3 linked regions of the Astyanax mexicanus genome follow. The protein of the gene in region 2 purifies or fractionates together with the protein of the main gene of each other region. This does not show direct contact. Links are inferred from orthologs where the notes say so. Each region holds a gene or a part of one and is shown on either strand. Other genes may lie near its edges.

Region 1 (3,755 bases), on a different chromosome or scaffold from region 2:
CAGGCGATGCAGAATAAGGATGAAATTAGCAAAATAGTACATGTGTAAATTACTGCATAGTAGGTCTACTTCTTTTAGTGATCTGGGATTTCCTGTTTTTTTCAGAGGTAAATAACTGCCACAGTTTGCATACTGACTGATATGTTAAAGAAGCCTCCTGGGGAAATGTTTAAATGTGTGTTCTAACAGGTGCAAAAACAGGGAGAATCTTTTTCTATCTGAGCATGATCAGTGCACGTACATAGCTACTTTAGGCTCCTACTTTAATAGATATAAACAATGAACAAAGATTATGTTAATTACTGACCACATCGTCTGGGTCACAGTGATCTATAGGCCGATGAGATGTGTTGATATCCCCCAGAATGATCACATGACTAGACAGAAAGAAAGTGATTAAGCAATGCAAATTAAATGTAAAAAAAAACATAATGGAACTCTGGATTAAGCTAAACCAGCAAAACATGTATGCAATTTTACTGATGTCCTTCTTACCTTCCAGACCCCACAATGGCCTCTGCTCGACTCTGTAGGAGCCTGTAGAACTGCAGCTTGAAGAGCTTCCTCTCTGGCTTTTCTGGATCCGCACGTGGGCAGTACACATTAATGACAGTGAGTGTCTCTGGGTCTTCTGCTCCCCTGCATGAAACATTCAACATGGGAACACATTTCAGCATTGACAGATGACAGTCATTGTGTACCCATCACATACTCATCACCAATCATCAGTTGTACTGTACTGAACTGTAAAACATCTTGAAAGTACAACAAACACAATGTTTTAATATTAAAAGGTCTGAAGATGTTATGACACAGACTTGTGGCATTCCATGAAAGCTTACATTAATTTATGCTGAGTGATGACAGCCCGTCCTTCACCATCTAGTGAATGTAACTCTTCAGTGGAGAATGCAGTCTGGTCCCCATAGCATCCAACAGCCTCTCCATTGTTGACAAGAAGCCCAGTCAGTCCTTCTTCAGCAGCGAATGGTGTAGCACTGTCTTTACAGAAGGTTGCGACTCCTGTTCAGAATTATAAAGTTATCAAAATATTGCATCCAGTCCCTGTCGGAATGTACATAGTTGACTGATTCTGTTATAAATTTAAAAATTGTACAAAATGTTGGACACAAAATCTTTTGAGAACTATTCTATGGCTATTGTATGGCTAATTAGCCATTTCTTATTTTGTCTGCAAATAAATGCTTTAAGTGACAATATGTTTATTGGGAATTTGGAAGAAATGTCTGTAGTTTATAGAATAAAACAGCAATGTTAATTTTACTCAAACATAAACCTATAAACAGCAAAATCAGAGAAACTGATTCAGAAGCTGAAGTGATCTCTTTATTTTTTGCAGAGCTATTGTTAGCTAAGCTAAGCTAGTGTATCTGCATACATGAACTACTATAGCAGTGTCTTTTAATCCCCTGAGTTCCTGAAATACTGTAGTTACTAGGGGTGTCACGATTTCGATATTTCATCGAAATCGATCGAAACTATGTCATGGTCTCGAGCATCGAAGTCAAAAAGAGGATTGACGATCCCTCCCGCAAATGGCGCAGCGCGCTACGCAAATGGCGCAGCACACTGTAGCTCAAAAAGCAGCCCTTTCTCTACAGAATGTGGACATTCTCATCTTCTTAAAGAAAAACTTGAAAATATAAAAATAATAGTTGTTTTGTCTAATATGTTAATAGTTTTGGTACCTTAAGGAGCATCTTTCTCTCAGATAAAGTTAATAATATATCTTTATTAAAGAAAAAAACTTGTCATTCTCAGGGACTGAATCTTATTTTTCATGTTTAACTGTTATAGTAGGATAGAGTTCAGTTTGTTAAGGCTCTAATTTTTTTATTTAATTAATTTAATTATATTTTATTATTTATTTTGTTATGTGCACACTGCTGCTACCAAAAAATGCCACTAGATGGCATTACAAATATATCTTAATTAAATTATTTAAATTTGACCATTAGTGCCTAATGTGCCTCAAGCCTGCCTTTTAAAATAAGATAAGATATTGTAAATTTGATGAATCAAACCAATGACTGACCATAGACTAATCTAAAACTGGCATAGGCCTCTCTGCTGTAAAAAAAAGAAAAAAAAAGAAAATCGAGAATCGAATCGTGACACTAAAATCGGAAATAAAATCGAATCGAGGATTTAGAGAATCGTGACACCCCTAGTAGTTACTAACCTGAGTATCCACTGCGTCCTCTGCTGAAGCTGAAGTAGGAATTATATCCATCCACTACTGCAGTCCTCTCATCCAGCAGATCCCCTGATCCACACATAATAACAGATATAACAGATTAATACTCTGATTAACTGTGTAAACATGCTAACAGCCATGAGTTTCTTTAATGTTACCAAATTAAAAACCTCTGTAATATAATCAAGAGGATGATGAATGATCAAAACCAAGCCATCAAAACCAAGCTAAATTGCTTGAATTTTTGCACCAGGAGTGGCATAAAGTTACCCAAAAGCATTGTGTAAGACAGGTGGAGGAGAACATGCCAAGATGCATGAAAACTGTGATTAAAAACCAGGGTTATTCCACCAAATAATGATTTCTGAACTTTTAAAACATTATGAATATGAACTTGTTTTTTGGGGGGTTTTTTTGCATTATTTGAGGCCTGAAAGCTCTGCATCTTTATTGTTTTAACTCAGGCTAACAGCCATCCAGCCTCACTGCTAAACCTCTTTACTGGCTGAATAACATAGCTACTATACTCACGCGTGACCTTCGTCTCCTGAACACAGATAATATCAGCGTTAAACGAGTCCAGCGTCTTCTTAATGCCATATTTAAAACTCCTGATTCCGTTTATATTCCAGGTAATAATCTTCATATCTGTCTCAGAGCGGCTGACAGCGTCCCCGCGCCACCATTACCACACAGCTCGGGATCGCGCGCACCAACTCTCGCGAGATTATACTGCGGTCGCGCGCTTTTCACGGAGCTATGGCAACCGGTTTCAGCCAAAAATCACAACACAAATTTATTACTTAAATCTCAAACTACAGGTCTCAGTTTTACAGGGTTATTAGTATGATTATTTTCTAATATATCAGATTTACAGGTTTATATATATCTACAAATCCATTCCGAGGAGATTAATGACCAGAACCACATTATGTAATTAATTTAAAATAAAATAAATTAGGTTTATACATGGGTCATTCCTGGGATTGGGTGCCATTTGGACAACAAAACCTTTTGAAAAGGAAATACTGTTATTATACTTTTTTCACATTTTATTGTGAAAGGGGTATGTTAATTTTTTTAGGTCAAGCTCAGGCATATAATTTGTAGCATTTATTTAAACATTTTTATGAAGTCTCTGACCTAGAATGTCCACCCTTTTACGGACATATGCATAACTATTTTAAAGATTTATGGTTTTAAAATGATAATTATCTAGGAGCCATTATGTCCCTTTTTAGCTTTAAAGTAATTTTTTTATTTATTCTTTATTTTTTAAAAAAACAGATACTTTATGAATTGTGTGTTTGAATTCCCACCAGCACATGATTTCACTTTTTTATGTTTAGATTAAAATTAATTCTATATGTATTTTGATTATTTTTAAGGATGCATGCTTTGGCCTCTTTTTAGGCAAAATATTACAATATTTTTTTTAGATTCAATACATGCTTTACAGTAAAAATAAAGAAACACGAAGAACATAAACAAAATATGATAGTAATGGATTTTTAAACAAATTAATTAATCAACGTTT
Region 2 (3,755 bases):
AAGGAACTGAGGAAAAAAGTGGGACCCAGATACAGTGGCTTGCAAAAGTATTTTTACCCTTCAAACCTTTCAACAATTTGTCACCTTACAAGCACTAACGTAAATGTGTTTTATTGAGATCATAGAAGTGAGTCATAGAGTCATAGAACAACACAAAGTAGCAAAAGTTTAATCAAATAAAAATTATAAGCATTCAGCTTAGTGCCACCTTTCACTGCAATTACAAGTGCAAGTCTTTGTGGTATGTCTCTACCAGCTTTGTGCATCTGGAGATTTTTGCTCATTCTTCATTGTAAAATAGCTTAGGCTCAACCAGGTTGGATGGAGAGCTTCTGTGAACAGAAACGTTCATGTCTTGCCACAGATGCTCAGTGGGATTTAGGTCAGGCTTCCACTGTAGCTCTGGCTGTTTGTTTAGGGTAATTGCAAAAATTTACATTCACAAATGTAAGTGACCTGTATCTGTGTGTATGTGAACAAATCTGGCCCTGAAACGCCTCACGAGTGCATACTGATATGCTGATAAACGTCGCCTTCTTCACCAACAGCAAAAAAGGAAAATGGATGCATTAGCAGCTCATACGTGGAGCATCTTTTGCTTGAGTGGAGAGCAAACAGCTCTGGAGTACATGCTCAGGTCGAGGAGGTGAAAAAAAGGCCAGGTAGTTTGCTTTTGCTATAGCTGCACATCTGCACCAAGAGATGTGTGGGTACAAGAGAAGCACGTAGCGCATGCGTAAAAGCAAAAAGATGCACAAATTCTGACTGACCGTTCACACTCATGTCACATGTCCATGGATTGGATACATAGCCGATTCAGGAATACATAAAAAAGTAATAAAAATCTGATTTGAAGTATTTCAAGGCATTTATCCATTTATTCTTTTTGCTCCTGGTTGTAAGTGTGTTTTTCTTGTTCACCTTCCCTGGTTGTGAGTGTGTTTTTTTCACCTCCTGTGGTTGTGAGTGTGTTTTTCTTGTCCCCCTCCCCTGGTTGTGTGTTTTCCTTGTTCACCTCCCCTGGTTTTGAGTGTGTTTTACTTGTTCACCTCCCCTGGTTTTGAGTGTGTTTTACTTGTTCACCTCCCCTGGTTTTGAGTGTGTTTTACTTGTTCACCTCCCCTGGTTTTGAGTGTGTTTCTCGGTTTCTCCTGTTGAGGCCGCTGACTCACAGCCGCCCTCCTATCTCACTCCTCTCTCTCACTGAGATGTCTATGGTTACTAAACACAGTTTCCGCTTCCAGACCGGATGTCAGTTGCAGTCTGTACTCCGAGGCTGCGAATGTTGTGGATGAAAAAGAAACTGGCAAGTTGAGAAAAACAACGAGTTCAGGCTGGGCAACGACAATTCTTCGCGGAGGAGGAAAAAACCTCGTCGACAGAGGGAGAAAGCGGTGAAGGAGAGGTCGTGTGACGCTGCAGGTGAGCGGGAGCGGCTGTGTTTATTATTATTGGATGGAGCAGCTGGGTTAACTTTACTCCGCAGGCCGCGCTGCTCCCGGGCTCCGGGCTCAGCGGTGGGGAAACCAGCATGCTGATGTAACCAGGTGCCAGCCCTGTGTATGTGCGCTAAACTGAGCCAGGGCCCTGTCTCAACCACTGCCCTAATCCCTGTCCACTTCACCCTGCTAGGCGCCAGGTTCACAGAAACGTGGACTGCGACTAGCAGCTCCTGTCAGAGAGCGGATCCAGCCTGAACACAGGCTGAGTGAGCGGCTCGGTTAGCATGGAGGGGAGTGGCTGACTCAGACAGATAGCGTTACCCAGAAGTGAGTCAGCATCAGAAGTCAGCTAGCGGACCCTTCTGGGAACAAACATGTCCTTTTAGCTAAATCGGTTCGGTTGTGTTTTCGTCCGGTAAAGACAGGGGTAGCTTAGCTTAGCTTAGCTTAGCCTGCTGTTGTTTGGCAGAGGGAGGGAGAACTGACAGCTATGTAATGACACTCGAAACTAAGTGCACAGAGTCCCAAACGGAGGGAGAAGCGAATGAGACGGGCCCGTGTTTCACTAGCTAGTTAATGGGCTAGCTAACTAAATAATTTTTGAGATTGTAAGTGCAGTTCTTTTACTGCAATAATGTTCTCACTAACTTTGGGAGTAGGTGACAGCCAGCTGGTTGATATCAGAAAGCTGTAGCCAACTCGTTAATTAGTTAGTTAGCTGTTAGCTAGCTAAAATAAACGTATATGTAACTAAAAGTAAATGTAGCTAATCTAGGTAAGCTAGTTACTGTTAGCTAACGTTAGCTGACTCTGTAAACAAGCTAGCATCCAGCATATAACTGCAGTCTATGGTCCAGACACGTTGATATCTTTGTAACTCCTGGTAATCATTTTTCTCCAATGTAGTGAACTTAGGCTTGGGACCTATCAAGAAATATAACTATGTATAATCTGTTTGAATCTTACTGTAGCTGTCCAATATGTTGTAGGAGTGTGGCCAACTCAGTAGGGTTACAACTATTAGTCCACATAATCAACAATGTTCTTTATTTAAATTTGTCGACTAATTGTTCATTTGTAACAGTATCACAATACACAATGTGCTGGAGACAGAAGTGCAGTGGGAGATGGGTAAATGGTTCACTCACCAAGTTTACACTCAACAAAAATGCTCAAAAACAACACATTACATATTTTTTCACTAAATATCTGTACTTTCCACGTTTAAACAACATCTAGACATTTTAAAATGCTTTTAAATCTAGCTGTTTCTATGTTTTTTAGGGATGGGGAACATGGCAGAAATAATCGCTGACTAATTGACTATTTTTTTGTTTTACATTTTGAAACTAGCAAGGTCCAGTGTCCAACACATGACAAAGTAGTGATGTAGTGTGTTATCTTCCCAGTACTTTAGTTTTAAAATCTAAATAGTGAATCCTTTTTATTCTGGGTCTGACAAATGCTTGGAAATGACTCATTGAGGACTCCCCCTACATTTCTGTAATGTGTCTCCCCCTCTCTTTTAAATGATTCAGCAGCTAGAGTTTCATCCTGGAACTGGTTGCTGGTTGTGCACTTCATCTTTCAGTTTCACTTCACACTCTCTCGTTCATTTACATAGCTTAACCGTTTAACAAGATTGGACCTGCTGATTGAACATGCACATAAAAACTGTACCTTTTTTGTGATGTTATTTTGACTGTGTTATCTAACTTTTTATGTAGGCACTTCAGTCTTGAATCTAGTGTTAATATTTATATGTTTTGTCTTTATCTTCAACCTTTAGCCATAATGGTGGGCGAGCGCCGCAATGGGAACCTCCTGGTTCAGTTGGGGCCAAAACAGCAGGCTTATCCAGAGGAGCTGATTCGCCAGAGGCGCACCCATGATGGCCAGACAGAGTACCTGATCCGCTGGAGCCTGCTGGCTTTGGATGATGGCACCAGTTCAGGCGGCAGCAGTAACGAGGCAGGTGGCGGGGGTAGTGGTAGCTCTGGTGTTGGCGGCTCCAGCGGGTCCTCTTCTGGTGAAAGTAAGACGGAAAACATATTGATGTGGATGTCGACAGAGGATGTGTATGCCAACTGCCCCACGCTGCTGGGCAAGCGTCCTCTGCTGGAGGAGAAGGTGCGGCCAAGTGGTCAGTTCTCTCCCGACGTCACGTTTGACGAGGTGGAGCTGTCGGATATGAAAGATGATGTCAAGAACCTTGTCGAGCGAGCGCGAAAACAGATGGCCAAAAACAGTGATTTCGCCATTAGTCTCACACACACCATTCATGTGCTGAGCGCCTATGCTAGCATTGGCTCA
Region 3 (3,755 bases), on a different chromosome or scaffold from region 2:
GCCTTTATTCATTTATGTATGTATCTATTGAAGTATTTATGTATTAATGTACGTATGTATTTATTTATATATTTATTTATGTATTTGTTTACATATAGTTGTGTATTTATTTTTTGTTTTGCGTTTGGGGCTATAAATGAGAGATTACATTCACTTTTTTATCCACTAACAATATACTCAGAGAGGAAAGGACCGCCTAACTAATTAACATATAAATACAGGAATAAATAAATAAAGAAATATGGTGGTACGTAAATAAATACGTGAAGAAATGTAGAAATTCATCAATAAAACAATAAAAGAAAAATGTATGTATTTATTTATTTTTAAATAGGATTATTTATTTATCTACTTTACAATCTAAGCTGTTTTTAACAAGAGTTTGGGGCTTTAAATGAGAGATTAAATTCACTTTTTAATCCACTAACAATATACTCAGCGAGGAATGGACCGCCTAACTAATTAACATATAAATACAGAAATAAATAAATAAAGAAATATGGTGATACGTAAAAAAAAAAAAGTGAAGAAAATAAATACAAATAAATGACTAAACATATGTATTTATTTATGTATTTATGTAATTATCTATATAACTGTGTATTAATTCGTTTATTTGTTTATTTATACGAATAATTTATCCATTATAAGTTAAGCTAAGTTAAGCTAAATATAGTGTAAGGACAAAAAAAAAACACAAACAAGTATTTAGGGCTATAAATGGGAGATTAAATTTTCTTTGAATCCACAAAAAATATATAAGATATGACATAAATGTAATTATTACCTTTTCCAGGACAAAATTATTATTATTATTATTATTATTATTATTATTATTATTATTATTATTATTATTATTATTATTTATTTATTTATGTATCGAAGTATTTAGGTATTATGTATGTATTTATTTGTATTTATTTATTTATTCATGTATTTATTAATATAATTGTGTATTTGTTTATTCGTGTATTTATTAATATAATTGTGTATTTATTTATTTATTTATTATTTTTTAAATATAATTATTTATTTATCTATTTTACAATCGTATGTATTTTCATATAATTGTGTATTAATTCATTTATTTGTTTATTTATAAGTAGAATTATTAGTTTATCTATTTTACAAGCTATATATATATATAAATAGATTCGTCAATAAATAAATAATTATTAAATAAATAAATCAATAAATAAATAAATAAATGTAAAAACTCAGAAACAGGACAAATAAAAGTTAATGGATGAAAGATTTCTTTTATATATGTAAGGATAAAATGAATGTATTTATTAATTTATGTATTTATTTATATAATTGTATATTTATTGATTTATCTACAGACCACTTTATTTATTTAGGTATCTATTTATTTATGCGTATGTCTTGTGCTCCATACACTTATGCCCAAGTGTCGAGAGGCTCCCTACGTAGGGCACTTCCACTGGATTTGAGACGCTCTCATCATGACATCACAGCTCTACGGCGAGCGAGGAGGGACAGTTGTGTTGTAAACTGCGTTGCCTGTGTTGAGGAGAGGCGTGTAGCTGAGCGGCGGCTCTCAGAGCGTTTCTCAGCTTTTCCCGCAGCTTTTCCCCCGCAGTGAGTTCTGGATGATATTCTGCATTAGTGTAGATTCATTACAGCGCGGTGTAGCATTATTACTGTTTATTCCGGTTACCCATGTGCTGATCCGCGTGCTGTGTAGCGCACGAGCCCTGGATCTGCCCGCATTACAGCTCTACCAATTCTTATACGCACTTTACACCAGACTGCTGATCTCAGACCAGGGCTTATTATACTCATTTATAACCACACTGAGTCTTTTACTGCATAAATACGAGTTAAAATGTGTGTAAATTAAGTTTTAGTATTATGTAGATAATATAACTGTAGTTTTGTATTGTAGTAGCCTGTAGTTATTGTGTATTCTCCTGCAGTTCGACCCTCTTGGACTAAGCTGGTCATTAAGCTGGTCATATTGTTGTGGCCAGATTGGTCATGGTGTTGGACCCATGTGGACCAAGCTGCTCATCAAACTGGTAATATCGTTTTAGATCAAGCTGGTCATATTGTTGTGGCCAGATTGGTCATGGTGTTGGACACATATGGGCCAATCAAGTCATAATGTTTTGGCCAGGTTGGTCATTGTGTTGGACCCTCGTGGACCAAGCTGGTCATTAAGCTAGTCATATTCTTTTGGCAAAGTTGGTCATGGTGTTGGCTCATCATGGACCATGCTGGTTATCAAGTTGGTCACGTTGTTATGGTCAAGTTGGTCATGGTGTTGGACCCTTATGGATCATGCGGTCACATTGTTATGGTAAGGTTGGTCATGGTGTTGGCTCATCATGGACCATGCTGGTTATCAAGTTGGTCACGTTGTTATGGTCAAGTTGGTCATGGTGTTGGACCCTCATGGACCAAGCTGGCCATCAAGCTGGTCATATTGTTTTGGCCAGGTTGGTCATGGTGTTGGACCCTCTTGCACCAAGCTGGTCATATTGTTTTGGCCAGGTTGATCCTGGGGTTGGACCCTTGGGGACCAAGCTGGTCATATTGTTGTGGCCAGGTTGGTAATGGTGTTGGATCCTCATGGACCATGCTGCTCATTAAGATGCTCATATAGTTTTGGACCAAGCTGGTCATATTGTTTTGAAACAAGATGGTCATATTTTTTTGGCCAGGTTGGTCATGGTGTTGGATCCTCATGAACCAAGCTGGCCATCAAGCTGGTAATATTCTTTTGGCCAAGTTGGTCATGGTGTTGGACCCTCATAGACCAAGCTGGTCATATTATTGTGGCCAGTTGGACCATTGTGGAACAAGCTGGCCATCAAGCTGGTCATATTGTTATGGTCAGATTGGTCATGGTGTTGGACCCTCTTGGAACAAGCTGGTCATCAAACTGATCATATTGTTTTGGCCAGGTTGGTCATGGTGTATGGAGTGAATTTTGTGCCAAAAGTTTTACGTAAAAAAATAAAATCCACAATCAAAATTTTAAGAATCAAAAGTAAAACATGTATGTTGCAAATTCAAAAGAGAAAAAATATATATCAAATATATATATTTAAATATATTTGGTTATTTTATTATTCTTTGCACTTATTTGAAAATTATTTTAGTTTGGATTTTGCCAGTCTTTGCTTTCATTTTTGGATTTTTTTGGATTTTCTGTGGATTTTTGTGGATTTTGCTGCTAAAGACTTTTGCTTCTGGAATCTCTCCTTTGCTTCTGCTTCATTTTTTTGCTTCTGATTTTTGGCACACTTTTCACGGGTGGGCGGGGCTTAGAAGAAGGCGTTCCCCTTTAATCTCTATTGGTCACCTACCCTGAACCCTCGTCTGAGACAGAACACGCCCACCCCGCCAGCTTCAAGCGCTCTTCCAAACATGGCGGAGCGAACGGGGTTCAGCTCACAGCAGCACCAGCAGGTACTTTTCCAATTAAATTTCATACAGACGTTATGTTTAATGTTATATTTCTTTTTTAAGTAAGTGTTTAACTCTATTAAGATGCTCATGTTAGCGGGGTGTGCTAAATATCCATGCTTAAATTATACTAGTTAGTTAGTGAACACTAACCTACCTAGTCAGTGAGTTAGCTAGTTTACCTAGGTCATCTGGTCAGTGAGTTAGTGGGTTAGCTAAGCTAGTTAGGTTACCTAGTCAGTGAGTTAGCTAGTTAACCGTAATCAGCACTTACTTGGCTTTACCCTGGGGCATAATAACTAGCTTAGCTAACCCACTAG

The links.
Region 1: the proteins of cullin-9 (region 2) and apex2 purify together in Homo sapiens (affinity purification with mass spectrometry; 3 studies listed by BioGRID and IntAct, counting the BioPlex papers as one, with this or other methods). This does not show direct contact. The link is inferred for Astyanax mexicanus from reciprocal best matches to the Homo sapiens genes CUL9 and APEX2.
Region 3: the proteins of cullin-9 (region 2) and glmna purify together in Homo sapiens (affinity purification with mass spectrometry; 3 studies listed by BioGRID and IntAct, counting the BioPlex papers as one, with this or other methods). This does not show direct contact. The link is inferred for Astyanax mexicanus from reciprocal best matches to the Homo sapiens genes CUL9 and GLMN.

Annotation. Positions count from the first base shown.
Region 1 is NC_064419.1:39,158,665-39,162,419, forward strand, and holds the start of apex2 (DNA-(apurinic or apyrimidinic site) lyase 2), read right to left. Parts: upstream 2,939-3,755; 5' UTR 2,865-2,938; coding exon 2,750-2,864; intron 2,288-2,749; coding exon 2,204-2,287; intron 1,024-2,203; coding exon 843-1,023; intron 640-842; coding exon 496-639; intron 378-495; coding exon 308-377; intron 1-307. UniProt on the Homo sapiens protein: Functions as a weak apurinic/apyrimidinic (AP) endodeoxyribonuclease in the DNA base excision repair (BER) pathway of DNA lesions induced by oxidative and alkylating agents.
Region 2 is NC_064414.1:18,295,969-18,299,723, forward strand, and holds the start of cullin-9, read left to right. Parts: upstream 1-1,241; 5' UTR 1,242-1,422; intron 1,423-3,231; 5' UTR 3,232-3,236; coding exon 3,237-3,755. UniProt on the Homo sapiens protein: Core component of a Cul9-RING ubiquitin-protein ligase complex composed of CUL9 and RBX1. The CUL9-RBX1 complex mediates ubiquitination and subsequent degradation of BIRC5 and is required to maintain microtubule dynamics and genome integrity.
Region 3 is NC_064411.1:55,061,166-55,064,920, reverse strand, and holds the start of glmna (glomulin, FKBP associated protein a), read left to right. Parts: upstream 1-1,493; 5' UTR 1,494-1,602; intron 1,603-3,755.